3 linked regions of the Tribolium castaneum genome follow. The protein of the gene in region 1 interacts with the protein of each later gene in a biochemical or structural test. Links are inferred from orthologs where the notes say so. Each region holds a gene or a part of one and is shown on either strand. Other genes may lie near its edges. The genes, in order: Uba1, ubiquitin-conjugating enzyme E2 J2 and Ubc4.

The links.
Region 2: of the proteins of Uba1 (region 1) and ubiquitin-conjugating enzyme E2 J2, one has a biochemical effect on the other in vitro, tested with the Homo sapiens proteins (2 studies listed by BioGRID). The link is inferred for Tribolium castaneum from reciprocal best matches to the Homo sapiens genes UBA1 and UBE2J2.
Region 3: of the proteins of Uba1 (region 1) and Ubc4, one has a biochemical effect on the other in vitro, tested with the Homo sapiens proteins (9 studies listed by BioGRID, with this or other methods). The link is inferred for Tribolium castaneum from reciprocal best matches to the Homo sapiens genes UBA1 and UBE2K.

The regions. Positions count from the first base shown.
Region 1 is NC_087394.1:32,754,015-32,764,825, reverse strand, and holds the start of Uba1 (ubiquitin-like modifier-activating enzyme 1), read right to left. Parts: upstream 6,309-10,811; 5' UTR 5,957-6,308; coding exon 5,293-5,956; intron 2,868-5,292; coding exon 2,166-2,867; intron 2,116-2,165; coding exon 1,916-2,115; intron 1,552-1,915; coding exon 769-1,551; intron 667-768; coding exon 1-666. Other genes in the region: Klp54D (kinesin-like protein KIF12), read right to left, coding at 7,898-8,069, 8,175-8,300, 8,348-8,533, 8,584-8,806, 9,503-9,626, 9,680-9,784, 9,834-9,952, 10,672-10,811. UniProt on the Homo sapiens protein: Catalyzes the first step in ubiquitin conjugation to mark cellular proteins for degradation through the ubiquitin-proteasome system.
Region 2 is NC_087398.1:6,626,574-6,636,839, forward strand, and holds ubiquitin-conjugating enzyme E2 J2, read left to right. Parts: upstream 1-4,428; 5' UTR 4,429-4,735; coding exon 4,736-4,854; intron 4,855-4,900; coding exon 4,901-5,135; intron 5,136-5,182; coding exon 5,183-5,320; intron 5,321-5,372; coding exon 5,373-5,558; 3' UTR 5,559-5,614; coding exon of another isoform or gene 5,615-5,696; 3' UTR 5,697-5,872; downstream 5,873-10,266. Other genes in the region: solute carrier family 2, facilitated glucose transporter member 1-like, read left to right, coding at 1-21, 68-280, 333-539, 586-723; solute carrier family 2, facilitated glucose transporter member 1-like, read left to right, coding at 968-1,102, 1,143-1,889, 1,937-2,149, 2,197-2,400, 2,448-2,579; solute carrier family 2, facilitated glucose transporter member 3-like, read left to right, coding at 2,627-2,725, 2,773-3,264, 3,309-3,572, 3,618-3,830, 3,874-4,089, 4,138-4,269; thialysine N-epsilon-acetyltransferase, read left to right, coding at 6,585-6,665, 6,718-7,140; zinc finger protein 239, read right to left, coding at 7,204-7,309, 7,357-7,633, 7,678-8,413; dnaJ homolog shv, read left to right, coding at 8,837-9,634, 9,683-9,893, 9,946-10,010. UniProt on the Homo sapiens protein: Catalyzes the covalent attachment of ubiquitin to other proteins. Seems to function in the selective degradation of misfolded membrane proteins from the endoplasmic reticulum (ERAD).
Region 3 is NC_087394.1:31,291,805-31,302,615, forward strand, and holds Ubc4 (ubiquitin-conjugating enzyme E2-22 kDa), read right to left. Parts: upstream 5,110-10,811; 5' UTR 4,754-5,109; coding exon 4,691-4,753; intron 4,630-4,690; coding exon of another isoform or gene 4,608-4,629; exon of another isoform or gene 4,476-4,607; intron 4,447-4,475; coding exon 4,294-4,446; intron 4,245-4,293; coding exon 4,162-4,244; intron 4,116-4,161; coding exon 3,952-4,115; intron 3,904-3,951; coding exon 3,767-3,903; 3' UTR 3,311-3,766; downstream 1-3,310. Other genes in the region: E3 ubiquitin-protein ligase RFWD3, read right to left, coding at 1-1,552, 1,607-1,634; Prps (ribose-phosphate pyrophosphokinase 1), read left to right, coding at 4,608-4,629, 5,194-5,398, 5,473-5,656, 7,669-7,734, 8,291-8,848, 8,904-8,996; metallophosphoesterase domain-containing protein 1, read right to left, coding at 9,367-9,494, 9,925-10,151, 10,204-10,468, 10,514-10,790. UniProt on the Homo sapiens protein: Accepts ubiquitin from the E1 complex and catalyzes its covalent attachment to other proteins. In vitro, in the presence or in the absence of BRCA1-BARD1 E3 ubiquitin-protein ligase complex, catalyzes the synthesis of 'Lys-48'-linked polyubiquitin chains.

The sequences.
Region 1 (10,811 bases):
CACTCGCTTCACAATCTCGGACATGGGCAACCCCAGGCGTTCCTGCGCCTTCGCTTTGGCCATAAAGAACGAGTACAGCATGCACACGCCCTGCGACAACATCGTGATCTCCAAGCCGTGCTTCTCTTTAAAGTACTCCAAAAACTCGCTCAGAGTCATCTCCCCATCCACCTCAAACCGGTCCCACAACGTCCACTCCTTCCCGCAATACTCGTTCTTGGGGGCGGCAATGGGCTCCGAAAACCCGAAGAACGGCAGAGCCAAGTTGACGAAACCGTTCTTGAACGGCGTCAACGATTTCAAACTTCTCGTTAATTTGTAAAGCTCGAGACAGACGAGGCCGGCGACGACTGAGGTTGTTGTCGCTATAGCTGGGATGATTTTGCCGGCGATCAGCTTGGATTTGTGACGATCGGCTGGAGGGATTTTGTAGTTGGCGGCTCGGAGATTCGAAGCCGCTACTATGAAATCCATGTGGAGGTTTGTGTCGTCGTCCTTTTCGAAATCAAGTGGAGTGAGGCAAAGATTGCCCAGTTCGGCGACCGAAGGTAATTCCTCTCTGATTTGGCCAACGCGGTCCAAGTCGACGCTTGAACCGTTCGTCATTGCCATCTGCGAATCGGTGACGGCGATCTTGACGCCAGATTTCGGGACGAACTCTGGTACCTGCAATTAATTATCATAAGAATATTATAAAACATTGTCTAATTGGATATTAATAAAAAAAAATCATATTTATTTCTTTAAAGCTTAAAGTGGCTGGCTTACGTGAATTTTTTGCACCACTTCGGCGATGTAAGCCCGATCCCTATTCTGCGGTATTCCATAAACCTCGGCTTTCAAATTAGCCGCTGCAAAAACATAATCCAAATGCAAGGTATTGTTCACATCGAATGTGAGTGGTTCGGGACACCTCTTCGGTCCCGACCAGAACAACTGTCCAGTGCTGGTTTTTTGATCCGGCGGGAAATTAAAAAGCAGTTGTTTGATCTGATTTGAATATTGTTCCTCCCAATGATGGCGGGCCCACACTACACAGTCTTCAAAACTCTTTGGCCTATCATCAACTAAAGCTGCCTTGACCGATTCCAGCACTTCAATCGGTTGAACTCCTGGTAATTTAATAGTACGTTCCAAAAATTCAGGATCGGTGAGATATTGCGATGCGTTTTCAGCACTCTGTCTGAAAAGGCCTTCGAAATTATCACGAGCCCATTGGAGAGTGTGTTCGATGGCGTTGGGGAAATTTTTAAGGGTACAAATCGGGATGCTCTTCTCGGGAGGGTCCTGTGACGAACTGTAGGATTCGGTGAGGAAAGGCACTACGACCTGGGTGTTGCCTTTTGTACCCAAGGTTCCGGATTCTAGTAGAGGTTTTCGGTAATAGACACATCGACGGTCCATGTAGATACGAGCGTCAACGTTATCTAAAGCGTTAGCTACGCCGTCTAACGACTCGAAGAAAGTGTCATCGTACATGTTTTCAGACTCGGGGCCCACGCGATTTTCATGGGCGACTATGTTTATGCTCGGGTTCATTTTCTTGATCACCTGTAGCAAAAATAAAGATTTTTTTTATTTAAAGACATTTTTAAATTTCATCTTCAAAAATGGTGGATGCGCCGGGTTACTCATTAAAAATTTAATAACTTAAAAACTAAAAGTGGTAGAGACAAACAGTTTGTTCCAGTGAATTCTGCGGATAATTTTACGTATTAAACCAGCTTATCACAGTATTTAAAACTGCCGAGAATTTTAGTTGGCCTGTTATGGTCTCACCTAGTACAAACCTCTAGCGAAGATAATTGACCGCGTTATTTAAAATCTTTGAAATTGAATGTTTACGCATCTGTGCGGTCCATTTTTATCGTTTTTTACCATTAAATTCGGAATTGTTTCAATAAGATGATTTTACCTTTGCTGCCGTTCCAGATTTGGGACGCTGAACATCATGTGGTCTGAACAAAAACTGTCGATTGAGATTAGATTTTTCAATAAGATCCATATCAGTGACGGTGATTTGTCCACCTTCACCACCAATTCCCATCATAGCGAAATTTTTAAGTAATTCGCAACCGATCGCTCCAGCACCTACTACGAAATATTTCAAACCGCCTGCAAAAAATAAATTAGCAACTTTTCGCCAAGAAATTACAAAAACGCACCTAATTTCTTCTGGAATTCGCTTCCGAAGACCGCAATTTGTCCATCATAGCGTGTGCCTTTCGGTGCCGCCGACTCTTCGGTAATTTCCCCAGCTTCCGTGGGCAAACATTCAATCGCATCGAAATACAACCACTGATAAATCGGGTGAAATTTCCCCGAACAAGCTTTCATAACTTCCTGCGCCACGATACCACCGATAGTCGCATTAATCGGATTCAAATCACCCGCGCACACTTTCGCAAACGTTTCTAACAAGTTAGTGTTCACTTCGGTATCGTTTCCGCCGTCCACGGCCAAAGATTTAGCAATGGACAGAAATTCGGATGCGTCTTCGTTGTTCCACGGTTTTGGTACACGGCCGTGCTTTTCGACGTATTTGTGCAACGCTTGAAAAGCCACGTGGAGCTGCTGTGGATGATCGAATTTCGCGAAATCGGTCATCAAAAATTCGGGCGATTTTAGCGAGTCTTTGAGTGATTTAAACGACAAGGTTTTGGGCATTTTCACTTGAGTGGCAATACCGCCACGCTCGTATTTCGAAAAGTTGGTCGTATCGCCGATGCTGAACGTGTAAGGGCCTAACACTTTGATTTTAATCGGCTTGCAATTGTTCAGTTCGGTCATTCCTTGGACTTCGGAAAATGTGACGTGGTCGCCGTCTTCCATGCCATGGCGGGTGTCGTCAATGCAGGTCACAATGCCTTTGAGAAAAAAAAACATCATTGAAAAAAACACCATTTTCAAACATATTTCGACCATTAAATTATAAAAGTATGACATTTAATGGCAGTGGAAACTAAATTTATTTTACATCTTCAACTTGGCGACAATAAACTTATGTGATGTGGTATTGACTTAGGCATTGAAATTATAACCACAATATCCATTACATTAAATCGATGTTTATTAAGGACAGAAGTTTTGTTACACGGCATCGTTGTTTCGCATGACCTTTACCTTACACGTATCTAAAATCAATTGAAATTCTCGATAGTGAGATTCACGACAGAATTGCGCTAAAAAAATGATGCAACATTTTTCTAATCTTTTATTTTTTTAAGGTATCTGTCTCAATGTCCGATTTGTTTTTAGCTTAGGACGAAAATAAATGTTTATAACGCAGACCACTTTATTTACACAATTATGGTTATTTTGAATTGCGTAGACAAATACCTACTCTTTATACAAAACATTGATTTGCATTTTTTGTTATACGTATTTTGATGACATGTAATAAAAACAGAAAATTAGTGATTTGAAAGAATTTAATTTTAGAGGTCTTTGAGCAAATTTCATCTTTTTTCAATTGTAGAAAAGCTAAAAATAGTACGAATTCATTAACCCATTGTTTATAGACGTTACAACAATGATCATTAAATAGCTGCTTTTGCAATGAAATAAAACAGAAACCAATATAATCAAATAAAAACTGTATTACGAGTAAGCTGCTTCACTACTCTATTAATTTTCTTGATCATTAATAATCCAAATGTGAATAACATATCACATATCGAGAGAAAAGAAATTATACCTAATAGATAATAATAATTAATAATAGCCAAATAGTTGATTTTTGATGATAAAAGCCCACAAAGACGTTCCGCTAACATTAAAAATTAATTTAGATTTTTTTTCTGATAATTTAACTTTTAATTTTTAATATTTTTCCTGAGACACTCTTTTAAATGTTGCGCCTCTGTTCCCAATATTGGCGAATTTATTGTCAAATTTGCTACTTTGATTAATTGTTTTGAACGTAAATCATCAATTAGTGTCATTCCTGCTAACTAAATTCAAGAAAAAATGATCTGCCAAAAACTTAATCGAAAAATCTAACATTTGGAGAGCTATATCTCGTAAAAAATGGAATTACCCTGTAATTGCCTGTCAATTGACTCAAAAGGCAAATTTTACAAAAAAAAATCGAGTGTCATGTGTAATTCAGTTAACCCAGACCCAGATTTTTAATTTTTTTCATGTTAACATTGTGTTACCCACTTTATCGATAAAAATAAGATTGAACATTTAAATTGGATTTGTCCTGATACATTTGGGTCATTAAAAACAGACATAATAATTTTTCAACAGCATAAAAAAATTGACAAAATAAGACTTTTTAGATTACGATACTAAAATTTGACAAAGCTTTACTGTACTGAGAATGGGAAAAGGAAAAGTGTTTAAACCAATTTTCGAATAAAAAAATACAGAGTTTTCTTTTGGTTTCCATAAAAAATGTGGCTTCAATAATGTAATTTATGCTTTAACAACAATATCAATTTCTGAAATTTTCTTAGTTGCAATCAAAAATATTTGATCTAGTTTTCAGACGACTTACATTTAAATAAATCTTAGTATGAAATGGTGTCATTATTACTCAGAACTGTATCGAATATGAATTTAAAAAAGTTTCGTTTAAAAATAAAATAAAAAATCTCTATTTTAAGCTATTTTATTTAATAAAATAGTTGAATACTGAATGCTTGGAGATCATTTAAGTTGCATCAAGATAAAATTATAGAAGTTTTGTGATTGCAGTGCTTCTTTAGCTGATCTTACCAAGTTGTTCTATTAGGTAAGATATTGTTTGAAGTACAGGGTGAGTCAATAGTGGGTTATTTCTTGACCCGGTATTTAACTAACAAACCTAAAGATTTTTTTAATAAATATACAGCTCACCTTCAAAATATCAACCTCCTACCCTCCACACAAGTGGTAGTTTACAGGAGGAAAAAAGGGATAGTACAGCATCTATTTTTAATAAAATCACATGTTTTTTACAACATTTTCTCAACATTTACACAAAGTTTAATGCCATTCGACTGCTACTTTGGTAAGCCAATAAATGGCTTTAGGTTTTATGAATAGTCTCGAATTATGTTTAATTTATTAGGATGACAGATTTATTTGACCATACGGTATTTGAGTACTGATATAGTGCCCTTTGGGGATTTTCACTCCATACCTTCGCACATCGCAAGGAAAACAAAGGCAAACTTCTAACATCGGATTAATTTTAGCCACATGATCAGGTTGATTGCACAATAATTGCCAATATAACCCGACGTACAACGTCAAGATTAGTCATTGTGTAACAATGCCTTCCATTAGGTTCTTTGTACCCACCTTCTTTATCGGTGGAAATATCAGCGATCATCGCCGAGACCGGCGACTCCCCGTTGGTGTCAACGACCGTGAAAGCATCCCCGAAATCACAGAACACTTGGGCAAAGAGCCCCCTCGTATCGGCCACAATGAGCGCAATGTTACTGGCATGTGTGATTTCGCTGATTTGCATCTGCTCAGCGAGACAACTATTGGTCAGGACAACGACTCGGAACTTGCGGATGAAGTCCGGCGTCAGGGGGCCCGTGTAGGCCTTCGTGGGGACGTAGGTGTTGAGCTCCGCCAGCTGCTTGCAGCAGACCTCGGCCCTGTTCTTGCCCACGTCGGCTTCGGTGAAGTAGAACTGCGACGAGAGGTCGGCGACGCTGCAAACGGCTTCGTCATGCAACGTGACGGACTTGACCCCGCCGAGGATGACGTTCTTGGCCACCTCGACGCCGAGCCCGCCCAGGCCTGAGACCAGCACGTCGCTGGAGGCCATGCGCCGCATGGCGTCGTGCCCCAGGACGTAGAGCTGGCGCGAGTACAGACCCTCGTCGATGTCCTGCTGAGACGATCCGGAAGCGCCGTTGTTCGCCATGTCGGTTGAAATCGGGCACGAGTCAAGCTTCCGCTTCTTAGTTGGGGGATCGACGGAGCCTTCGGCGATTTCAGCACTAGACATCGGACACGAAAGGACACAGTTTGATTAGTTGCGGGTCAATCGAGGAATTTGCGCGCTGATAACCATATAGCAATGTCAATTGGCCGGTTTTTTCACTTGGATTTAGACACAACGCTGGCTGAAGGCGCACAACGAACGAACAAAGAGACCACGGGCCGAATGCGCATGCCGGAATGCGTGATTCACGCACTCCCACAATTCTGCAAACTTACGCGCTAAATTGGAAATTGTCGCGAAAGATTCACACTGATTGTTAAGCAGAGCAATGGGGGCACCGAAACGACCCAAGTGACTGCACACTGTTTAACATTTTAACATCTGTTTTGACAGTTACGTTAATTTTGAAAGGTTGTGGAGGAAAATTGGGGCCGTATCGTCGTAGGCCATGATTGACAATTTTTAAATTTGTTTTGTTGGTGCCATTGTACTCATTACTGGCGGTGTTTAACACATTTAAAATTAGTGCCGATGAGGAGTGCCCCAATGGTTGCGATAATAAGTCTTATAAAACACCTGAAATATGCGTTTTTTATTTTGCCTTCATTGTGTCCATAAAAAAACGATAAAATTGAAAATGTAGGGAGTTTTGTATTACCTGCATTTCGATTTGTAGCATTGACGAATTGTCATTGTCAAAATGTTTGAAAATGATATTTTTTTAAATTATTCCAATAACAAATTTCACTCTTAATAGCAGCATTTTACGGTACAAAAAGAGTGAAAATTAAAAATTATTCCAAGTATTACCGTCACGCAGCAGTTTTTACAAAATTGGAGGGCGATTTTTGTACACTTAATCATTCAACTTTGTATTTCAGTAGCTTGGAAGGTCAATACTTTCTTTACGTTTTTTTTTTTTTGTATTTTGCATCGTTAAATAATGTCACCGCACTCGCTAATAACAATTAATAATTACTTATAAATCATACCTACGTTCTGGAAAACTGCGATAAGTGATAAACATTTGTGACTAATCTGCTAGGTTTTTGATTAAATATGAGCAACATTTGCATTATTTTATGCCTGAACACGTTTTGAATGACAATAATTAGATATTTTTAAGATCACTCTCCTTTTTGAGGTATCAAGTATGACGTAAGTCAAAAATATTGTTTATTTTTGTGATGGTTTTGTGGGCCCGAAATTTGTCAATAGCATTACAATAGAAAATTAACCAATGGCTCATTTTTAGAATGTTTTTTTGTGTGAGTTGTAAACTTTAACATCTTAAATTTATCTAAATAAATATACAAAGTACTTACAGCGATTTACTCGAAAATAATTTTCCCACAAACCATACGAAAATTCCTGTAAGAAAGGACAACACCACGAAAATGATCATTTTGCTCTATATCGATGTGACAAGGTAACATAATTTACTGTTTGCACTACTTGTTAGAATTTGTTTTTCTAATGTACCTAATTAGGGCAACAATAATTAATTCTTACCAAATTCACACGAGTGGAATAATTTCCAGCGATCAACACCACTTTAAAATTAAATTAGTTCCCACTGTTTGATAAGATTTAGGATAATCATGAAATAGACTAGATGAATAAAGTGATTTATGCGTTTAATCTAATCAATTTTTTCAACACAATGGCTATTACTTTGTCAGTCGATAACAAATTTCGTTTGCATTCAAAATGATCAATTAAAATTGTGTCAAGAGAAGAATTCACATTTTCTGAAGCTATAATATCAGTGTAAGATATACTTACCTCATTTTTGTGAAACCTTCACCAATCACCATTTTAGGATAAATAAACACAATTTTCTAGTAAAATAATGTATATTTGTACCTTGTTTTAATAGTAACAATTTGAATATTCCAAGTGTTTAATTCTACAGTGTGTCTTCAAATTAACTATTGGTACAATATGGGAGAACGTACTAAAATAAGATTATGTATTGCTACAGTATCACTCGAGCTATATTAATTAAATGTCTTCTTCATCCGTTAAGGAAATAACGCTTCCAAAAATATGTGAATTCTTCTCTAATTTGCGTCGTGCTCCATTCATTGACGGCTCATTTTCGTCCGGTTTTGCCACAGAAAACCGCCTACCTGCCAGTTGGCGTTCTCTTTCGGGACTATTCGAGTCGAAAGTGCTGAATTACAACCTCATGTTAAAAAGCTAACTTTTTGCACTAGCAAGTTAATACAGTCGCTCAAATCACAAAATTTGTGCAACTGTACAACTTGAGGCAAATTACCCGGAACGATTTATCAGAACGGGGCCTCCGTCTGACTCGGAGCTTTTCACTCGAACTACTTTCGAATCGCTCGAGCTTTCTTCCAAGGACTTGTTCCTGCGGTGTCCGCGTCTAGGCGTCTGAATCCTACAATTTTTATTTAGGCTAAAAAACTCATATTTTTAAACAAGTACTCTGTTTTAATTTGTCTCTTGTCCAACTCCTTCTGAATCGATTGCGGAATTTGTTGGGGCGATCGGCTGTGTGAAGATTTGTCTCCGTCCGACCAAATGTTTGTCGTGGATTCGGAGTCGATGCTGTTGAGGAGTTCGGCGGAAAATGCGGGCCGGGCTGGAATCAGGGGAGACCTACAACATACACTAAAATAAAAATTATAATCGATTTTGGGAATTGGGGTCTTGGCACGTACGAGTTCACTTCTTCGAGTTTCTTTAGTAAACGCTCGTTTTCCCGGCAGACGAGTTCGTGGTCTCTTTGTAGGATTTCGCGGGAAGAGTAGAGCTCGGAGTTTTCGCGTCGGAGAGCTTCGTTTTCGGTCATGTATAAGCGGACGAGTTCGGCGAGCTGGGGGCCTTCGAGTTCGGCCAGTTTTTCCAAATCCACGTGGGGTGGGGTTACCACTATTCTCCTCTCTGAGGCAAAGTACACAAGTGCATTTCTAAGTTAATTGGTTTATGAAAACAAAACGAAAATAAAAAAATTGCGCTCCATAAGATATCTCTCAAAACGCTGCAAATAAAAATGTAAGAAAACACATTTTTGTCAATTTTAAGTGCAATTTGCAATAACTGAAAAAAATATGTCTCAGATATTTTTTTAAATCATTAGCTGCGCGAAATGGAGCTACTGATAAAGTGATAACTGATGTTTCTTAATCTAGGACATAGAGAGCATTAGATAAGACTATAATATACAGAAAGTTTATAGGTCAACATTTGACATTCTAGAATCTAGAGATCTGCATCATTTAAATTCAACTAAAATCGTACACATACAAAATTTCTTGAACTTTCTCACTAATTTAAGAAATTAAAAAGTTCTTGTAGTAATTAATTGTTAAAATTTGCTCCGTTCTTGTTCATTGAACATCGGCTGCTTGGAGCTCGGCTCGCGTGCTATCTATTTTTTGTCGCAACTACGTCAAAGCCAGGAATAAATGTTGATAAACCGTAGTTGCAAAAAACGCAGCTACCTCTGGTGGGACTCGAACCCACAATCCTCGGCTTAGGAGGCCGATGCCTTATCCATTGGGCCACAGAGGCTCGCATTTTTAGTGCGACTTGTACAAAGAAACTGATAATAGTTCTAATTATAAATTAAAAACCAACCTGTTGGTAAATCTCCTGCTGTTGACCCTGAGTAGACGTTGAGCGCCGAGCGCAGATGCTCGTTTTCGCTCTGCAGGACATTCACTTCTCGTTTCAGGCTCAGAATGAGCGCTTCTCGAGGGTCCTGATGACATTTACAATATGTTACAAGCAACGAGGGAATTCTTTTATATTTACCATCAGGACAATAGGCTTTGTTCGAATTTTCTTCGCTCGAGCGGCATAGCGCAGCGTGTTGAGGGTCTCGCTGATGTTGGATCTGGCAGGAGAAATGCAAGCAATCTGAAACAGATTTATTGCAAGGCAGTCTTAATCAACCCTAAAAAATTACCATCAGTGTTACGCCATTTCCTGCCAATGAATCTGCAAGGAGCTTGGTCAGTTTTGAATCTCGATAAGGAATATGCGAGTTCCTTCGCTTGGAATCACTTAACGACGATATGCAGTACCCTAAAGAGAAAATCAATCAACTAGAGTAGCAAATTAAAGAACAAGTAATTCGATCACAGTTTATACCAAACTGCTTCAGAGATTAGTTATTAAACTATTATTGGCTTTTCCGAGGTATTGACTTTTAAGCGCAAAGAGTGAAAAGGTCTCTATTTATAATTCATGCACCATTGAAATAGATACTTTTTTCATGAGTTTTGTAATTGGATTTGTACGAAAACCCCACATAATTTAGTAAATAAGTGTTGAACTTGAATGTATATAAATATTTTTGTAATCGAAATGGATTCAATAACATTTCATTTATAACGAATGTTATATGCATTCTTAATGAGACAAGTTTTCTCTCAATATTTTATTTTTCCATGTCAGTGTTGCAATTAGAATACAAATAATTAATTTGTTAGAAAATTTGAATTTCAAAAAACTTTTACGCTAGACAAAACAAACACAAAACTAGAATTTTCTTCTTCAAGTTTTTGCTTTTTTACTTTAAAATACGTATTTATTTTGAAGAAGTAAGTTGATTTTTTACAAATTATTCGCATAAATTCAATTCAATAATCATGTTCATTCATGATTGAAATTCAATTCAATAGTATATGTTAAACTACTTCTTTATCAACTTTTTCGAAAGGGTAGATAAAATGTTTTAAATTTATTTTATTCAATTAAATTGATAAATTCCTTCATAATTAGTCTAGTAATGTTTCACTTACCTAACACCATCAGACTTTTATTAATATTATTCGCCTCTTCTAACGTTTTGCCCTCACTTTGTGTCTTTTTGGTCATTTCACTTCCCGCCAAATCAACGAAATTTATTTTCCCAGACCTCGAGAGAAAAACACCTCCTTCA
Region 2 (10,266 bases), on another chromosome or scaffold:
CAAATGTGTGGCATTAAAACGGTAAGTTGGATGATTACTTAAAGTTTTCGCCATTTCTGCGTTGAAGGTAATTCAATTCTCGACCCCGGTTTTTGAAGAAATGAATCTGGGACCAAAAGTGGCCTTGTATATCACGGCAGGAATGTTCATACCTCTGCTAATTACATCGATAGTTTTCTGTTTTATTATCGATAAATACGGACGACGTAGAATGGCAGAAATTAGCTTAATAGGCCTGATTATAACAACAACTTTCCTTTTTACTTCTCTGTACTTGAGAGTGAGCATTTTTATTTGGGTAAAATCAAAAATCATGTTTTAAAATCCAATAGAGAAAAATTGTACCAAGCATGAAGTATGCGGCTATTGTAGGATACTTCGTATTCAACGGGTTTTATTGCATCGGTATTGGCCCCTTGGGATGGTTTGTCCCAGCTGAGATGTTCTACCATTCATCCCGGACTGTCGCAGTTTGTTTATCAGTTGCATCAAACTACATTTCAAGTTTTATAATAGGGCAAGCGTTTTTCATTTTAAAGGTAAAACAAGCCCCTAGTCAAAGCATAATCCAGGAATTAATTCTAGAGCGAAATCGATGCATACACCAGCCTCATATTTATTGTTTTGGACATATTCTCGCTTCTTTACATCCAGCAACGCTTACCCGAGACGAACCAACTTAGTGCATTAGACATCCTCGATATGTACACCTTTCCACAATAAATTATCCCCAAAAAATCTCCAAGATTATTTTACCCGAACAATTACCCTGTTTCCCAAAAAAATCTTTGAGGGAAAGTACCACCAAAAAAAAATCTCTCAATGAGAAAGTTTTATTACAAATCTTCAATACGCCATTTTGATGCTATCCAACAATGGTCTAAATCCCGGCCAAACTCCCTGGAAACACCCCAACTGTCCAGACCGACCCAGGCCTCCCAGTAATAAATTATTTGTCACATTTGACATGGTGCGTGTAAAAACGCACCTCCAAAGAGTTTTCTCAGTATTTTGCTCCAAATTCATTTTCGCGGTTATCGTCGCCAGTCTTTCAGGCTTCCAGCATGGCTACCACCTTGGCATTGTCAACATTCCGGCTGAAGTGAGTGTTTCCCACGAACTGGCCAACAACCCGATTGTAGGTCTTGCAGGAGTGGATCCGGGAAGTGGCAATTAACCGCAAGGGAGAACCCGCAACTGAAGGTTTCATCATGGTGTTTTGGTCAACTCTCGTTGCCATTTTTTCACTTGGGGGCATTGTCGGGGGCAGTTTGACGAACCTCTTCGCTGAGAAATTCGGCCGAAGGAATAGCTTGTTGTGGAGCAATGTTTTAGCTCTTTTAGGGATTGTTTTCCTTGTCTATTCCAAAGTGTCCGAATGTTACGAATTGCTCGTTGTTGGGAGGTTTGTCGCGGGAGTGAACGCCGGGTTAAACTCGGGGCTTTGCCAAATCTATTTGATCGAAATCGCTCCCGATAAAATCCGGGGGTTTGTTGGGGGGTTCTACCAGTTAATTATCGCAATGTCTATTTTGATTTCGCAAATAATGGGAGCGGTTCTGGGAGACGATGAGCAATGGCCGTTTATGTTTCTGGTCGGTTTTATACCAGTTTGCCTACAGTTGTGCCTTTTACCGCTATGTCCCGAGTCCCCTAAGTATCTTTTCATAACGAAAGGCGACAAGGAGGGAGCCGAAGCTGCCCTGGTTTGGTTCAGAGGCACTAACAACGTTTACAAAGAAATGTACAAACTCAAGGAAGAAAACAATTTGCACAAAAGTGTAGACGATGTGAATTTGGGTAAATTACTGTGTGATATTTCCTTGAGGAGCCGTTTGGCTGTCTCTTTGATTATAAATATTGGACAACAGCTGTGCGGACTCAACGCTGTAAGTGATAAAAACCCAATTTTGTCAATAATAAAAATCGTTTCAAGCTGATTTATTTCTCGAACGAGATATTCAAGAATATGGGCATGTCGGAAGAACTGGCCACCCAAACGACCATTGCCATGGGTGCGGTGAATGTTGTGGTAACCCTGTTGGGTATTATCTTCGTGGATTGCATCGGTCGTCGCATTGTCTTACTTGTCGGTTTCCTGGGGATGGGTATAAACACGTTACTTTTGGGCATAATCCTAAATTTAGGAGTAAGTCTTTTCGAATTTTGCCAAAAAAATCCCTCTTTTCCCACTAGAAAATTGCAAGTTTTATCGACTATATCGCAACAGTATTGGTTTTTGTTTTCGTAATTCTGTTCGCGATGGGCGTTGGTACAATACCATGGTTCTTGACTGGTGAAATTTTCAACCATACCCCTCGCTCGATTGCGGTGACCATAACCGTCAGCAGTAACTGGTTGTTTAATTTCGTGGTGGCCCAAACCTTTTTGCCCTTACAGGTAACCATCCCGATCCCAAATTCCGAAAAAAAATTGTTAAATTCCAGAGCGTCATTGGGAATTACGCGTTTCTAGTTTTCGTCGTCTTTGACTGTTTCTTTTACTTCTTTACTGTTCTGCACCTCCCGGAAACAGCGCGTCGTTCCGCCAAAGAAATATTTGAAATTTATTACGAATAAACTTTTAACCTAAATTGTCATTTGTTTCAATCAAAAGTGACATCGAAATGGAAAGTCTTGTTAAATTTCTTTTTTGTGTGGTAACAATTGCAGGTTCGGGTTTTGTTTACGGCTTCCACACAGGTTTCCTCAATATTCTCTCAGCGGTAAAACATGATCCCCGGTGGAAAACCGAATAGAACGGTTCTTTTAGACACTGATGCAATGGTATGACGACGTTTCAGACGAGCGGCTCGATACAAAGCAAATTAAGGAGCCCTTAAACCTGGGAGCTATTCACGCTTGGGTCACAATTTCCTTTTCGATTGGAGGCGTGATCGGAGCTGCCCTTATATGGCCCTTCGCCACTTACCTCGGCCGAAAACTATCTCTTTTCTGCAGTAACTTAATAGTGGTGTTTGCGCTTATCATCGTGAGTTTTGTCAGTCCTTCAAGCACTTTCGAATTGCTGATTTTCGGAAGAGTCCTTCTGGGTGTGTCGGCCGGAATTAACAGTGGAATAGGACCAATGTACTTGGTCGAAATCTCGCCTCACTGCCTGCGAGGCTTTGCCGGGAGTTGTTATTACCTGATTGTGGCTTTATCAATTTTCATGGCTTATGTTTTCACCCATCCTACGATAATGGGGGAAATCGAGACGTGGTCTTATGTTTTTGTCGTGTCGGGATGCCCGATTATAATTCAGGTAAAACAGTGGTGTTTTAGAATTTGAAGAATGCTTCTTTTAAGTCTATAATGCTTATATTTTGTCCCGAAAGCCCCAAATACCTCATGTTCGATAAAGGGGATGAGGATAGAGCCGAGGACGCGGTAGCGGACATTGAAGGGGAAGAAATCGACGAAGAAATGGACGATTTGAGGGAAGAAATGGCCCTTTTGGACGAAATTGGACCAGTGACAATAGAACGGCTGTTCAAAGATGAGACTTTGAGGAACCCTTTAATAATCTCGGCTGTCGTCATGTTGGGACAACAAATGACAGGAGTTACCTGTGTAAGTGGGCAAATTTTTTGAACATATTTTAAACCGTGCCCTTAGTTGTTGTACTTTTCGTGCGTAATTTTCGAACACCTGGGCTTCGACGATTTCAAAGCCAACGCAATGGCTCTAGGTCTAGCTTTCGTGAACTGGTTTTGCGCCCTTGTGTGCGTATTTGCGGTGGACAAAGTGGGCCGCAAGCCTCTATTGCTGGCTAGTTATTTCGGTATGGTGCTAACAGTGTTTTGTTTTACTCTCACGATGATTCTAATGGTGAGTGATTGGGAAAAAATACAATTCTTCATTTCATTTTTAGTCAATTTCAGTGCGACCTAATCAAGCCATTGACACAATCGCCGTCGTTCTGATTTATCTATATGTGATGTTTTTTGCGCTTGGCGCTGGTACCATTGGGTGGTTCTTTACGGCAGAAATTTCGAACCATTTCGCCAGACCCATCACCGTTTCTATGACGGTGATGTTGTACTGGATCGTCCAACTTATTTTTGTTGGGTGCTTTTTACCTTTTTGGGTACCACGTTGGCGAATTTGGGGCAATTTATTAACGAGTTTTTTTTAGTTCATGATTCACACTTATACGTTTTTGTTTTACATTATATTCGATATTGCGACAGTTGCTTTTCTCTTACTAACGCTAAGGGAAACCGCAATGGTGCCTAGTGTCGATATCACGGAAATGTTTTATGATTAAACTTTTCGCCGATGTCACTTTTGAAAATAAATTTTTTAAAAAAACCTCACGATGATTATTTTACATGGGAATCCCCGTTCATGTGCCGCATTGTTGGTTGCCTACCCCACGGTGATAAATGATGAAATTATCAAATTTTTAGTACGGTTTCGTCTTTAAATTATTTATTTATTTAGCTTATGATTACTTGTGGGCCTTTGTAAAATTCTGTTTGGCTTTTTTGGCAGAAAAGTGTTACGTCAGATGTTTTCGGGACAGTTCACTCTCACGTCATTTGTCGCTTTACCAATTTTTCGGAAAAACTCAAAAAAATCACTTGTTGTTTATCACCGCCCCGCGCCCCCGTCCCATCCTCTCGACTTTGATTGATTACGTGCCCCGAGCGATAAACACAGATAAGAGGCACAAATTAAGTACGTTTTGAGTGCTCCTAACCTCACTTTCAAGAATGTACAATTAGTTGAAAATGTCGAATCGCAAGACAAATAGTGCCACTTCGCGACTCAAACAGGACTATTTGAGGCTGAAACGTGACCCCGTGCCCTACATTACCGCCGAACCTCTACCCTCGAATATCCTGGAATGGTGAGTGCTGAGGCACCCAAAAGGTTTGTTTTCGAGCCAGTTTTAGGCACTATGTGGTGTGCGGGCCGGAAAATACGCCATATGAAGGGGGCTTCTACCACGGGAAGTTGGTTTTTCCGCGCGAGTTCCCCTTCAAGCCCCCTTCTATCTATATGATAACGCCTAATGGGAGATTTCGGACTAACAAGAAGCTGTGCTTGAGTATATCGGACTTTCATCCAGATACGTGGAATCCGGCGTGGAGCGTCTCCACAATACTCACAGGGCTTCTCAGTTTTATGGTAATGAACTATTTCCCAATGTACTTTTTCGTAATTTTTTGGTTTAGCTTGAAAAGAGCCCCACTTTGGGGAGCATAGAAACGTCAGAGTACGACAAGCGGCAGTTTGCCTACCACTCGCTTGAATTCAATCTCAAAGACAAGGAGTTTTGTGATTTATTTCCAGACACAGTTACCAAAATCCAGGTTTGTATCTGGTTATGGGGGCTATGCGATGTTTTGACCTTTGTTTAAATAGGACGTGCTGACGCAACGGAGTAACATGAATAATAACGTGGCAGAGAACCAGAAAACCTCTCGGTCAGTAGCAGAACCCAGCAATTTCCAATCATGTATTACTAATTTGATAGTATTTATTGGTGTTGCTGCATTTGCGATTACGGTAAAATACGTAGTAATAACAACGGCGTCTGAAGCTGAATAGGGTTGATAATAGGGTTGAAAAAGTCACATTTTAAGTTTACTTTTCTTTGGTTTTAGTTTTCGCAATTGTCAAGAACGGCGCAGGATATTTAATCTTTGTAGGAAATTTAAGAGACTTTTTTCTAGAGCACACGTTTAGGGTTCTTTGTAGTTTCAGCTGAACTTTTTTACTTAAAACATTATCAACAGTTAACGAACCTAAATCTCTCAATGTAAATAACTTATGTAATATATCATAATCCTAGTATTATTGTTATTAATATTTGTATCATAATACATATTGGTTGTAATGATGAATATATTTTTTCCCATTTTTCCAAGTGTTTCATTTCACGCACCTATCACTTATCAAGCAAAAATTTGTTCAAATGCGTTGTTACTTCAAGATGTAATTGATGAGTAATAACAGGTGTTTGATATCCAAAAATCGTAAATGACTAATCGATAAAATAAAAAAAACAAAACAAAGCTGACTCAATTTACTACTCCACAAATCAAACGTTCATTGAAGTAGGAAAGTCCGCTTCAATTTTATATTCCGGAAATAGGCATAAGGCAGACAAATAGGAAACAAAAGAATGAAAATCGAGCAAATACGCTCGAAAAAAAAACACGAATATATTGAATATATTGGTATTTTCGGTTCAAAAGACTTACATTTTAAGCCAAAAACCTGCTGCAAAGCTTAGAAAAAACACCATTTTTGACCTTTCGTGGTTTACGAATGAGTTATTTGGGTTGCCTACACAAATTTTTATCAGTTGATCTCGTTGATCCTATCCACAGATCATTTCTCAATTTTTTTTATTAATATTGTTAGGTGAAAGTAACTAATTGTAATATTCTTATTAAATTACTTTTTTCGATTAATGGTCAGTTACAGCATGAATTCACAAAATCTGTAGTACTATTTATATCTCAATAAAATTGTATCTAATTGTCTCAATTACATTTGTGGATTCCAGACGTCATACCTTATCTCTGTTAACACACATTTGCTTGAAAAGTGTCACTTCATCTCTCAAACATGCTGGACTGTTCTGAGATTAATGTAACTATAAGAAAAGCCAAAAAGGAGGATATGATCCAAGTCTACAAACTAATCAAGGTATTATTTAATTAATTTTTAACCCCTGGCAATGCGATATCGCATTTTTCAGGAACTTGCAGAATTTGAAAAACTAGAAGACCAAGTAAAAATTGACGAAAAAACCTTGATTAAAGACGGGTTTGAGACCGATAATCCAGTTTTCACGTGTCTTGTGGCAGAAATCTCAGATGGACACTTAGTCGGATATGCATTGTATTACACGTCTTACTCGACTTGGTTGGGAAAATCAGTTTTCCTTGAAGATTTATACGTCCAACCCGCATACAGGAAAATAGGAATAGGGAAACAGTTATTTATGGCAGTGGCCAAAACCGCACATGAATTATCTAGCAAAAGATTAGATTTTCACGTTCTCTCCTGGAACCCTGCCATAGACTTTTATAAAAGTTTGGGCGCTGAAAATTTAACAGTTTCCGAGAAATGGCAGCTTTTTAGACTGAATGAGCAGGCTTTGAATAAAATGTTTTCGTAAAAATTAACAATTTATTAGAACACGTTCAAACAATTCACTATTCTCTTGCCAAGTGATAACAAGTTATGGTAATGATAATGGGTCTGTTGGGTGCACCTTGTGGTGGACACTGAGCAGATGCTCCTCTAGTTTCATTTGACCGTTGTACACATTATCACAAATCTGGCACCTAAAAATAAAATTTAACCACTGTCCCCGTTTTTCACCATAAATTACTGGTATGTTTTCTTCTTGGAAACCCCCAAATGCAGTTTTTCATGAACAGCCAAGTTGTACTTTTCCGCAAACTTTTTCCCACAAGTGCCACAAGAAAATTTCTTCTCGCCAGTATGCACCCTCATGTGTCTTTTAAGGTGTGACGCTGATATCAGCAAAAAGCCACAGACGTCACATTTGTACGGTTTTTGCCCAGTGTGAGTGATTTTATGAATATTGAAGGAGGTGTGGTGAACGAATCTTTTACCACACGTATCACATTGAAACGGTAGTTCCCCTAAAACAACCAATCATTTCCTAGCAAAAAACAAGCGTCCACACCTGTGTGGATGGGTGTGTGCCTCATCAAAGCCCCCTTCTGCGTGAATGATTTGTTGCAGTAGACACACGTGAAGGGATTGATCCCTTTGTGCATCCCTACGTGGATTGTTAAAGCTTGTTGGCGCTTGTACGCCTGGCCACAAATTTCGCAAATGTAGGGACGTTCCTTGCTATGCGCCGACATGTGATTTTTCAGTTCCGTTGGCGTTTTCCAGGTTTTGGAACACTGAGTACATTTATAGGGTTTTGGATCCGTCCCATCCTTCTGTTTTTTCTTCACACTTTCACTTCCCGCTTCTTTCGTAAACAAATCCAGCGTGGACTGAATCTCAGACACCGAACTGAGATCATCAATATTAAAACCTGTCTCCAAATCATGCGTCTTCAGGTGATCCTTGAAACTCGCACCGGGGATTTTTTGACCACACATTGTGCATTCCTCGCTTTTATTGCTCGCTTCTCGTTCAATGTAGTTTTTGTTGGGGCAGTGTTTACGCAAATATTGTTTAAACTTGTTTTCGATGTTCCTTGCTCTAACTTTAATACTGTCTAGTTCATTCAGGAGGCGATAACACATCTCGCAAACGAAATAATTTGTTATGCAAAACTCTTCCTCAGCGCAGTCTTGGAGCAACATCAACAGAGGGGTTCTTGTATCGTTGGAGACCGATTGTCGGAGATCGAAGTGCAGAGTTTCGACAGGACACTCGCACAACGTGCACAGTGGTTGAGCCATTTCAAGAAATCGGCTTAACACCAAGCACCACACCACCACCAATTTTAATTTGAAAAAAATGTATTCACTTGTAAGGTTATGTTTTTGTTTATGTCAACTGTCATCACCCCAAAAAAATATTTGTTACTTAAATCCTCCGAATAGCTTCCTGGTTATGTCAAGAAATAATAACCAGCACGTATTAAGCCCAATTTGCGTTATTTTAATGCCATTTCAATTACTTTTTGCACATTTTTATTGTCAATGTCAAGTTGGTTGCCTAAATCGACCTAATCAAATGTCAGTCGGGGAATTAAATCCACCAATCAGCGCAATCCACATGTTTTGAGAAGGTCGTTTCGTGTTTCTCGCTGTGTGAGCATAACGATAAAAATCCATTAATTAAATTAATATTAATATAATGTTTGAAGTTTTTATCCAAAAATGAACGTGAACTCTGTGCCCGTCTTGCTTTTACTGACTTTCATTTCGGTAACCTCAGTTCTAGCAGGGCGAGACTTTTACAAAATACTGGGTGTCTCAAAAAGCGCCAGTTTGCACGAAATCAAAAAGGCCTATCGTCGCCTAGCCAAAGAGCTGCACCCTGACAAGAACCAGGAAGATCCGGAAGCCTCCCAAAAATTCCAGGACCTGGGGGCCGCCTACGAAGTCCTCTCAGACGAGGAAAAACGCAAGAAGTATGATAGATGCGGGGAGGACTGTCTCCAGAAAGACGGGATGATGGACAGTGGGATGGACCCCTTCGCCAGCTTCTTCGGCGACTTCGGGTTCCCCTTCGGGGGCGGCGAACAGAAGCACGAGACTCCGAGAGGCGCTGACGTGGTGATGGACATCGCCGTGACCTTGGAGGATTTATATTCGGGCACTTTTATCGAAATTACGCGGAATAAGCCGGTGATGAGGGCGGCCAAAGGCACCAGGAAGTGCAACTGCCGGCAAGAGATGATCACGCGGAATCTGGGGCCCGGGAGGTTCCAGATGATGCAGCAGACGGTGTGCGACGAGTGTCCGAACGTTAAGCTAGTCAATGAGGAGCGCGTTTTGGAGATGGAAGTGGAGCCGGGGATGGTTGATGGGCAAGAAACGAAGTTTACGGCTGAGGGGGAGCCCCATTTAGATGGGGACCCTGGCGATTTGATACTTAAGATAAAGACGCAGCCGCATCCCGTTTTTGAGCGCAGAGGGGACGATCTGTACACTAACATCACGATTAGTTTACAAGTAATTGTGTTAAGTATTTAGGGACGAGAGTAATTTTTGTCTTGTTAGGACGCCCTTGTGGGGTTCACTATGGAACTCCAGCATCTGGATGGTCACATGGTTTCGATAAGTAGGGACAAAATCACTTGGCCCAATGCCAGGATAAGGAAGAAAGGAGAAGGCATGCCAAACTATGATAATAATAACTTGCATGGGAATTTATTTATTACATTTGATGTAGAGTTCCCCAAACAAGAATTATCAGATGATGACAAAGAAGGTATTCGCGTTAAAGTTGCCAATTTCAAGCGCTCACCACAATTCTGTTTCAGCTATCAAGAAAATTCTAAATCAGAGCTCAAGAAACAAAGTTTATAATGGACTAAGAGGGTTTTAATTTAATTTAATTATAAATAGCAAGTTTTGTATATAAAAAAGACTATAATGAAGTGTGCTTGAGTGTATTGTGAATTAATTTATTACCTTTATTCTTACTCTGTTAAGGTATGACCTTAAAACCTTTGCCCGTTCATAGACTTTTCTACAGTTTTACGTTTCCTGTTCATTTATCAAATGTAAAGGAAAATTTTGTAATATATTGTACTGTCTTTACCAGTTGTTGTGCTTTTATTCCTCTAAATATTGTTAGGCAT
Region 3 (10,811 bases), about 1.5 Mb from region 1:
GTCACGGAGCAAACCTTTTGCCCCGTATTGATGCTCCACAAGAACACACTCTTGCAATTTTCCTGGTGGGCAGCAACGTAATCACTCGTATGCGACAAAAAACACGACTTTGATAGCAACTTCTGCATGCCGCCCCCTTGAAACGTGTGCAGAATATTGCAGTCAATTTTCCCCTCATTCCTCGCCAAGGTACTTAAAGTATGCCTCGCGTACGTAATTCGACTATTGGGCCTAGAAGACACTAACAATTGCTTTGTGTTTGTTTGGTATTTCATTGAAACGAATGGTCCCTCTAAGGAAATCGGGTGTCTCTTGTACTCCCCATTCGCGTTCTCGTACAGCCAGAGCGAGTTCAACTTGCAGGACACGACGCCCCCTTGCGCCAGGGCTTCGCCCGGGGCTGCCGGGATCGACGCGACTGAAACCACCGGAGACATGTCCCCTTCTATGGAAAAGGTACAAACGGCCTCGGTTAATTGCCGAATGTCGTATTTTATAACCGACCCAGCTTGCGTCCCTACGTATAGCTCGTATGGGTTGTTTTCGTCCCAACAGCATGACCAGAGGGGCATTTGATGGGTGAATTGGTGGACAACCGAATTCTCGTGGTTGTTTATGACCTTAAAGGTCTTGTCCATGGACGCTGTAAGCACCCAGTTCTGTTCCTTGTGGAAACAAATGTCTCTAATTTGCAACGTATGGACTGGAATGAACGCGATTGTTCTGTACCCCGAAATGTTTATTTTTTTCAAGCCGAACCCGGCGAACAAATTCGTGGGCGACTTCATCGAAGCCATGAGCAGGTCCAGCTCGCAGCGCGCGTCAAAAACCCGGCTTCCGCCGAATTTGCAAATCTCCATCGCCTTGTCCATGTACAGCTTGACGCGCTCCACCATGGGCTGGTTGAAAGTAGGAACATTGTTCTGCCTCAGTTGCGTCTTGAGCTGGGCGATCTCCTGCCTCAGCAACTGCTCGCGGTAGGCGCACGTGGCCAACTCAGTCTGGAACTTGTTGCGCTGTTCGGTCACCGAGTCCAGCTGTTTTTTGATATTGTCCAGTTCAGTTGTATCAATTGCTGTTAGTTTTTTGGCGTAAATGTAGCGAATGTCGTGGCGGCGCGCCTTCTCCTTGCAGGTCGGGCACGTTTTGCGCGAGTTCTGGTTCAGCCACCGGGTGATGCACTGCTCACCGAACAGGTGCCCGCACTTGAGGGCGCATATCCGATGGGGGCCCGTGTTCGTCCACTCGTCCAGGCAAATGGGGCACACGGAGCCGTCCTCCTCGCGCTCCTCGTCCTCGAAGGTGCGCTTTCGCGACTGGTTGCTCTCCTCGTCGAAGGTCTGGGGGGTGCTCGCCACTGACTCGGTGGGGGACAGTCTTTCGATTTCGTTGGCTTGTGGCACTAGGGGGAACCCCACGTCGTTGTAGGTGGCGGGGGGCTCGTTATTATCTACGTTTATTGCTACTAATGCTAAGGGGTGGATCTCCTCCACGCGCGGGGAGATTATCTGCAAGGGGTAGTCCTCAGAGCCTTCAACTTCCATCTCATTTTCTGAAACGGTTGACTTGTGTGATAATTCGCACGGAATAACGAGTTTATGGTTACCTCCGTGGTTGTAGTCATCCAAGTTCATTACTTTTTGGGTTTTTTTTCAAATAAATTTACAACCTAACCTCAAAAAACTATCCTGTCAATGTCAAATGGCGACGTCAAACTCAAGGACGTTTCAACGTCAACGACCTTCACGTCCTTGCATAAGATTTTTACGCAAAAATAACCACACGGAAATGTTTTTGCGGATTTTTCGTAACCACTAAGTGAAAAATAACTCATCTGATAACTGATAAAAATAAAAAATACAAATAATTCACGATTATGAACTTCCTCCCTGCTGGCAGTCAAATAAGCCTTTAAATCGAAAAGTTGGAAAAAACTTGCGTTTTTTATATTACTGTGGAGTCACAAAGGTTGTTCCAACTCCCGAGAAGGGGTCAAAAAGACTTTTTAGTAAAAATTTACAAAAACCTAACATTGGACAAATTTTGCGATTACATCCCGTATCTTCTTTCTGGATAAAGCTAGAAATTTATTTTTTTTGTAAAAGATTCCACCGTAAATAATGCAGTTTTACGTATTTACACAAGGTTGACTTTTGATAAAAAGAAACTAAAAATTACATTTTCTTGTAACGTCCTGTGTAATGAATTTTTCGATATGAAATGAAGTTAATAACTTAAATAAGTTTTTCATGTAAGAATCATTTCAATATCTGGAACACTCACAGTTATTACAATATAAAATTACCGCAAAATCTGCTCGAGGTGAAATCGCAGCATATTTCTAAAAATGATAAATTAACAAATTACTTTTAATCTAAGGTTACCAACCGTCCTGATTTAGCCAGGACGGGTTTAGGTTTTTACACTTATGTCCTGTTATATATGTTTTAAGTTGCCACCAAAAACACAGAATGTATCTACCTGATTTTTTTTTTCGAATAAAAACTACCGAAAATCTTCGTTTTTTCGAAAAATTTCTAAAACATGTTAATTAGATAAAAAAATTAAGATAACGGGAAAAACCATACATTTTCCGCCAATTTTTCTTCTTTTTTGGTCGAAAATAAGCCCAGATTTCCTAGGAATTCTTGCTTATAAAAGACTAGAAACCCTTAATTTTTGGTGTAATTTGAATAGGTTTTCATAAAAATTTTGCAAAAAAAGCTAAAGATGTTCGCAGCGATGCCAAAATACTAACAAAAAACAACCTTTTTTTCAAGTGTTATGACAAGATTTTACAGTATATGTATATTATTTTAACCGCCCTAACTTTCTGTTAATATTAATATCAAAAACAGTCAAGTGAACATTTTTATGCAAAATTTTCGGCTTTACAATTTTTGTTTAAAACTTTTTTTTCTAGCTTTCAGCGATTTTGAATAATCTGTAAAAAACGCTTTAATTTCGTTTCTTCAACTAAAAAATTCTTTGTCTAAACGTTTTTAACTGCTCCATGTAACTTATATAAAAAAAGCGAGCTTTTGAACATTTCGATTTACAGGCTTATTTGACTGGACCATTGAAATTATTCAATGACTGGACTAATAATAGGTGATTGTAATTGAATTTAAATCTATTTTGAAATAGTACCGAAGGAGTCTCGACCTTTCGTGGTGCTACTTATGTAAATCTGTTGCATAATCAGTGCATAAATTAAGAGTTAATGCGCAACTTTTATTTTCATGGAGTATTTGAGTTTCAAATGGACGTGGATTGTCTTAGGGTTGTAACTCACCTCAGTGCCTGTATATTCAAGATTAAAATTTTATTTTAACAGTATTCAATCGCCGATTTACAAATAAAAACAGTAACTAATTGGAAAGTGGTTATACAAAGCATTTCATTCAATTACCATACTTGAAGTGCTAAAAAACTAATCTGGTGGTTTTCACTAGCAAGAATAAACCGTAATTAATTGAAAGACTTTGTACTCGAAAGAACTAACGATAAGCATCAGTAACATCAATAAATTTCAAACACCAATATTGACAAAAGTTGAAATTAGTTCGCAAGAGCCAAAACAAGACTTTCGTATAGTGATTACTGAGACATAAGGTAAATGCAAACAATCCTTTTATTCATCTTGTACACCTTCAAAATAATTTAAGTCAGTAATCTATTGGGTAGAAAATGAAACTGCGTTTCATAACCAACTGTTGGAAAAGTGTAGAGAGAATATAGTAAAATGGCGGATTAAAATAGTTCACTAACTAAATAACTGTTCAGTTGCTCTTTCTATATCCCAGTTATACGACGACAAAGCGACCCGCGCCTGGTGCTCCTCCACTCCCATATCAACTAGCCTTTTTATTTTATCGTCACATTCTTTATTTACATGGGGACCTGCAAACAGAGCGTCACGCCGTCCTAATTGCAAACTGCATAAATTACCGCCTGCGTAAACATTTGTCCAATGTCTGGCCGTCATTTGAAACATTTCTATATTTTCCTTAAACTGCTTCGCCACCACGGCGTCCTGTGGGTCATCGGGCTCCGCAGCTGAGAGCAGCGCTTGGAGCGACAACAACACCGTCCTCAGCGTCATAGCTGCAGCCCTAGAATTTCATTTAATAACAAATACTACCACGTAATAGAAAGCACCATTGGTCCTTTAAAATGTCTAAGCAGATAGCGCCCGTTACTGATGATATATTCGGGTGCCATATCTTCGTAATGAACCTGACCTGTTACAAAACTCTTAGTCTTTTTTTTCCTGGTTATGTTGAAACGTACCTTGGGTGGATTGAAGGGGTATGTTTCAGGTACTTTAATCTCTAATACGAAGGTGCCCCCTTCGTAGGCCGTGTCCGGGGGGCCCGTGATCTCGCCTTTGAGCTCTGTATAACTATCATTTAAGAGTTCCACTTTGATGGCACATTTTGCTACCTAAATTTCAAACAAGCACGATCGTATTAGCCAAGTTTGTTGATTGTTACGAAATGACGTTGGAGTGATAACCCCTTCGCTTTGAATTTATGGCAGGGGGCATTTTTCAGTAATCAATATTTTACGTTGTGTACTGACAATTTCAAGTGTGAAAATTCGAAATGTCCGAGGAAACCGAGAACGGTAAGTGGCGTTTAGGAGTTAGAATGACATAACAGAAAAACAGTGTTTGCGAAGTTCCTACCTCTTCACTTTTAATAACCTCTTTAAACTCTCGTCGTATCCTTTGTGCTGCTATGTTAGCCATTCTGGTGGGGAAGTTCCTAAATGCAGTAAAACATAACAGATAAACCGTGGCTCTAAAAAATAGCGATTTGTTGACAAAAGTAAAAAATACACTGGCTAAAGATCGATTTTCACACTTTTAATTTCTCACTGAAGTTAGGCAAATTATGAAATGCTAAATGAAGAAATGTCACTTGTTTTCAATAGCATTATAGCCAACTTTACGGAATTTACGCGCGCGCCAAATCGGCCGAAATCTCGCAAATATTCGGGGATTTTCCCTCGGACTGCTGCAACGATGACGTAAGGGCCCCCCCGCGCGATTTCTGTTGACAATTTCGGCGATATTTTCGACGGAAATCTTCGATAAGCAGGGAGTATTTCGTCACAAGGTTTATCATTCTGGAGCGTTGTTTGCCGATAACATTAGACCCCGCTTCTGATTGGCTGCGCGTTTTGCAGTTATGCCCGTTTCCCAGCCCGTACGTGCTAAAAGCTTGTTGCGGGCAAAGTTGGAAAAGTCTTCGTTGATCCTCCAGAGCAGAATGCCGAACATTAAAGTCTTCAGCGGGACCTCGCACCCCGACCTGGCCCAGAGGATCGTGGACCGGCTGGGGATCGACTTGGGCAAAGTGGTTACGAAGAAATTCAGCAACTTGGAAACATGGTGAGTGGGCTTTGGAAATTATTTGCTTATTGACTTGGCTTAAATTGCGACTTATTATTATTATTTTATTTTAGCGTGGAAATTGGGGAGTCCGTCCGTGGGGAAGACGTGTACATCGTGCAGTCGGGCAGCGGGGAAGTTAACGACAACCTGATGGAACTCCTCATCATGATAAATGCGTGCAAAATTGCGTCCGCGAGCAGAGTCACTGCAGTCATTCCATGCTTCCCGTACGCTCGGCAAGACAAGAAGGACAAGGTGAGTGCACAATTGCTCCAATTGTGTACCTGCACATGTGTAGATAACCTAGACGCCACGTGACTTTGTATACATCTGCAAGCGGGTTTGTGGAGACCGTAGTTTTGGTTTTTAGGACAATTAGGGTTGTGGTTTTTCCTATTGACCTGACAAATTAGTCAAGCATCTGGTTTAATAATTGGACAAGTTCAATCCGACCACGTAGTTTATTAATTTGAAACAATTTGTTTACCGTTAGGTCGGCAAAAGGAGCACGTGGTTGAGAGGGCGCCACTGCCGCGACTTAAGTATTTCAAACATGTTTGCTTTGCTTAAGAAATATATGATTTATGATGTGTTAAATAGTCATAAAGGCTTTTTACTAGAATATTAGCAAAGGCATAATAAATGTAACTGCACTATTAAAAGTGATTTTGCTATATCCATTTAACAAAGACAGTCTTTAATTTGTTACTTTTTATTACTACAATTATTGTGTACTTTTAGATTTTATTGATGTTTTTCTTGACACAAAAGTGGAAAAATAAGTCTATTTCTTATCATAATAAATACTAAGTGATTGTGTGATTAAGGTTTGCCAGTATTTAAATATCAAATTCAAAATTTTATACAAATAATATACACTTCCATGCCTAGCCATCACCTGAAACAAATTAGAAGAATGACCAATAGCTCAATAATGCCAATAGATTTTTTGTCAACATGTACTCATTTGAATGTATGCGTTTTTTTCTTATGTAGTTGGTAATCTAGAGGCAAAAACGTGGTCTAATTAAATATTACCGTTCGAAATTTGATTAACTGACTCTTCAGTTTTATTAATTATAATAATCAGCCTTGCCATACAAGAAAAGAAGCCATAAAAACTTACTCTAATTATAAATTCAAATGATTGATTGGTACTATGTATTATAATAACAAGATAAAAAAAACTAGTGGGGAGTCTACAGTTGAAGAGCAGATTTCGAGAAAAATTATTAAATTTTTTTTAATTACTGAAATAATGATTTCAAAACGTGTCTAAATTACATTACGTGTTACTTTTCCTTCAAAAGACCAAATTTTTCTTTAACAAACTATTTTTCATGTGCATCATTCTACTGCTCTACCCAACCGCCTTTATCTTGAATTGTCACAGGACTAAGCAAACGAATTTAGAGAAATCATACGTTTACAAAAAAATTTACAATACACTTGATCACGATTTTTTTAATATCTTTATCTCTTTCAGTAATTTTTTGAAATAATAAGAGTTCCAGGTAAATGGAATTCTTTGCTTGTGGCAGTTTTCAAGTGCAATTTTAAGTAACATTAAAATATTATCATTTTAATTCGGGGTGTTCTTAGTGCAGGTCCCAACTGGCCTGCCCTAATTGTTTTCCCCCTCAAATATTTGTTTATTACAATTTATTGAGTAATTTGAACAAAAATATTTTATTGGTTCCTTATCTGTGTAGCAAAACCACTTTTGCTTTCAATGACGTCTAAGCGAGGAACTAGCCACAGTTCTCTTAATTAATTAAGATTCTGTATATCTATTACTAATTAGCATAACTTAAAAATAGTTGAAATGGTCGGAAATACGTCAATAAGTTCGGGTTCATGTGTGTTTATAAACTGATAATAGTGGAATGTTTAGCAAAATGCATTGCTTTAAATAGTTTTATATTTCAAGAGTAGATCAAGTAATGTAATAATGTTGAACTACTTACACTATCGTGATAATAATTAAACTCTAATTATTATGATTCTTGACTTTTTCTAACGTGACAGAGATTGAAGTTTTTTCTAAAAAGTTGAAAGAAACTTATGTAAAGTGTATTTTTATTTATAATTGCACCTGTTTTTCGTATTCTCAATGTTTCTGTTGACAAATTTCCAATTTTTTCTCTTATGCAACGTAGTTCCCATAAATAAAATTTAATTTTAACTGAAATCATTCGATTAGAATAAAGTAGATTTACACCTTCGTACATTCACATACACACTTACCTGATACGAGATTATTTTAGCCTGCGAATAAAAATGACGTCGAACGCAACGTGGAAAAATGGAAGTCAATCGAATGGAAATTCAGGGTAAAAATTGTTAAATTTTGTGAATGTTGCAGGGGCTTATTGGGAAAGTGTCGTCTGAAAATCATGTTTTTACGCCAGAGTTAGACTAGCTTTGTACGTTGTTAATAACACTGATACAAAACACAGCGTTCATACGTCGCAATTAACAAATAATAATAAAAAAATCATAAATGGGCGCGTAATTGCGACACGCTGTATATGATTCCCGGAACTGCATGCCAGGATTACAAAACGAAGGGGAAACGTACTGTTGTGAAACAATTTTACATTGACGAAATAGTCATTATTATCGTGTAACAAACATTCAGGAGTCAGAAGTCAACTTTTGTTTATCTGTTTATTGTTGGGTAAAAATTATCATCCGAAAAATGATGTAATGATCTTGAAACCATGCGATAATAATAATAATACCGAAGACTTATTAACTAACCCGACATGTCATTTTACTAATTGAAAATTTAGCTAGATAGTGGCTTGGGAATTTTGTTTAGCTTTTAACATGTTAGGTCCCTCGCCCTCGGCCCAATGCATGCCAATTTGAACCTTTGCTCAACAGAGTCGGGCCCCAATTTCGGCCAAACTGGTCGCGAACATGCTCTCGGTGGCGGGGGCCGATCACATCATCACCATGGACTTGCACGCGTCGCAAATCCAGGGCTTCTTCGACATCCCGGTGGATAATTTGTACGCCGAACCGGCGGTGTTGAAATGGATCAAGGAGAACATTGTCGAGTGGCGGAACAGTATAATAGTGTCGCCGGACGCCGGGGGCGCCAAGAGGGTCACCTCCATCGCCGACAGACTCAACGTCGAGTTCGCCCTCATCCACAAGGAGAGGAAGAAGGCCAACGAGGTGGCCTCGATGGTGCTCGTCGGAGACGTGAAAGACAGGGTTGCTATTCTGGTCGACGATATGGCCGACACTTGCGGCACGATCTGCCACGCAGCCGAGAAGTTGACCGAAGCTGGGGCTACGAAAGTCTACGCGATTTTGACGCATGGGATTTTCTCCGGACCTGCCATAACTAGGATTAATAACGCGTGCTTTGAGGCTGTGGTTGTCACTAATACGATTCCACAAGACGGGCATATGAAGGATTGTTCGAAAATCCAGGTGAGTTGTGCGATTTGGCACAAATCACAAGTTTGATGATTGTTTGGTTTTTTAGTGCATTGATGTGTCCATGATGTTCGCTGAGGCGGTGAGGAGGACGCACAATGGCGAATCAGTATCGTACCTATTCTCGAATGTTCCTTATTAACCCATTTTTATTATTTTAAATAATAAAAGTGTTAGGTTGTACTGCAAATCCTCAGATGTAGAAGATGTTCGTTTTATTTCTTTATAACTAATTGATGATGAGATACAAATTCATATTTTTTTAAATTATAATTTAGACCTTTACAGGTGCATGCCATAATATTTACGCTAATTACAATTAGGTTCTTGCAATAAAATATTTTTTTATTATTTCGAAATGGTCTTGTAGTGTATATAATTATGGCTTATTTTTGTACAAGAAATAAAAGACACGAGCTTTCTCTATACATTTTTTTGCAAATTATTTTGTATAAAAGAACTTAAATATACACAATAAATAGATTATAAAAGCGTTTTCGATTGATACTAACCTAGTGTTTCGACTGGCCTTCTGGTAAAGGAACATCAAAAACTATAGGTAGGTTTTTTGGAATATAGTTAATATCACATGTTGAAGCGTTGATATAGATGATTTTTCCGTCCGAGAACACTCCATAACCTGGCGAAATAAAAGGAGCGGTAAAATGAGTTTCTTCTCTAGGTGGCACCTAACTGAAGAGAATTTTTACCGATGGTTTGATTTATTAATTAATGAAATTTTGTAAGAAAAAAACCTTGACAAAGTTTTATTAAAAAATCGAAACGTCGAAACACTTCCTACGACTGTTATGGAATAACAATTTTCTGGGAGGATATTCTAACACTTTAGTTTTTGACGAACGGCAAAATTTAGAAGTCTACTACAATTATCATTCACGTTCTCTGTTGTAGTTGTTTCTAACTTAAACTTATCGAGTTTTGGAAATTAGCCAGGCGCTTAATCCACCTCTACAGCAGAACAATAAACAAACATTGAACTTTCAAGTAGGTTGGAATTTAGATAAATGTTCAAATTGGTTGAAATACAGATTGAGTGTAAACTAACTTGCCTTCATGTATGTGTCCGAAAACGTGATATTTGGGTTTGACCCTTTGTTGGACCGTCGTTAACAACTCTACGCATCCAGCTCTAACCCCCGAACAGACCAAATCGCCAAACCCCAGAGGCGGCGTATGAGTTATTAAAACGTCCGTATCGTTTGGAATCAAATTCCACTTGGAAAGACACTCTTCACCCCTCTCTAAATTAAAAGCCCAGCCACCGAATTCAGGTTGCCTGTAATAATTTACACAAATTTTATTGTTTTACGTAAATTCCGTGAAATTACCAAGGAGTTCCGTACAGTTTTATGCCATAAATATCAATCCCCGAATCTTCCAAATACGTGCAATTTGTTAAATACTGCCTGATGTTATCAGTATTGACTGCATCACTGATGTTATCTTTCGTATTGCCATAATTGGGGACTTCATCTTCGAGTGATCCGGTGTGTCTTGCACTCGCCGTTTTTTTGAAATAATCAGAGAATTTTTTATCGAAACTCAATTCGTGATTGCCGCTGATTACAATCTTGTGTTTGTGGGGCAAAGATACTGGAAGTAGGCAAATAGAATGATAAATTTTCCAGCACAACCCACCTAGCCATTTATTAAACTGCATCACTTCCTCTTTCTGGCCACATTTCGTAAAATCCCCAGCGTGGATGAACACATCGCCGTCGGGTACGTCGAACACCAGGTTTCTTATAAGGGAGTGGGTGTCGCTCATACAAACGAATCGTACTTTATTTGGTTCCACAGGTTTTGAGGGAGACTTGACATTGAGCTTGATAATTTTTTGGTTCTTTGATATTTCCCTCCACGCCGCGGTAGGGTTACTTGTTAGTTTGTGGACCGGGATAGTGCCGTTTTCCATCTCTTGTTACGTTCTGATCGC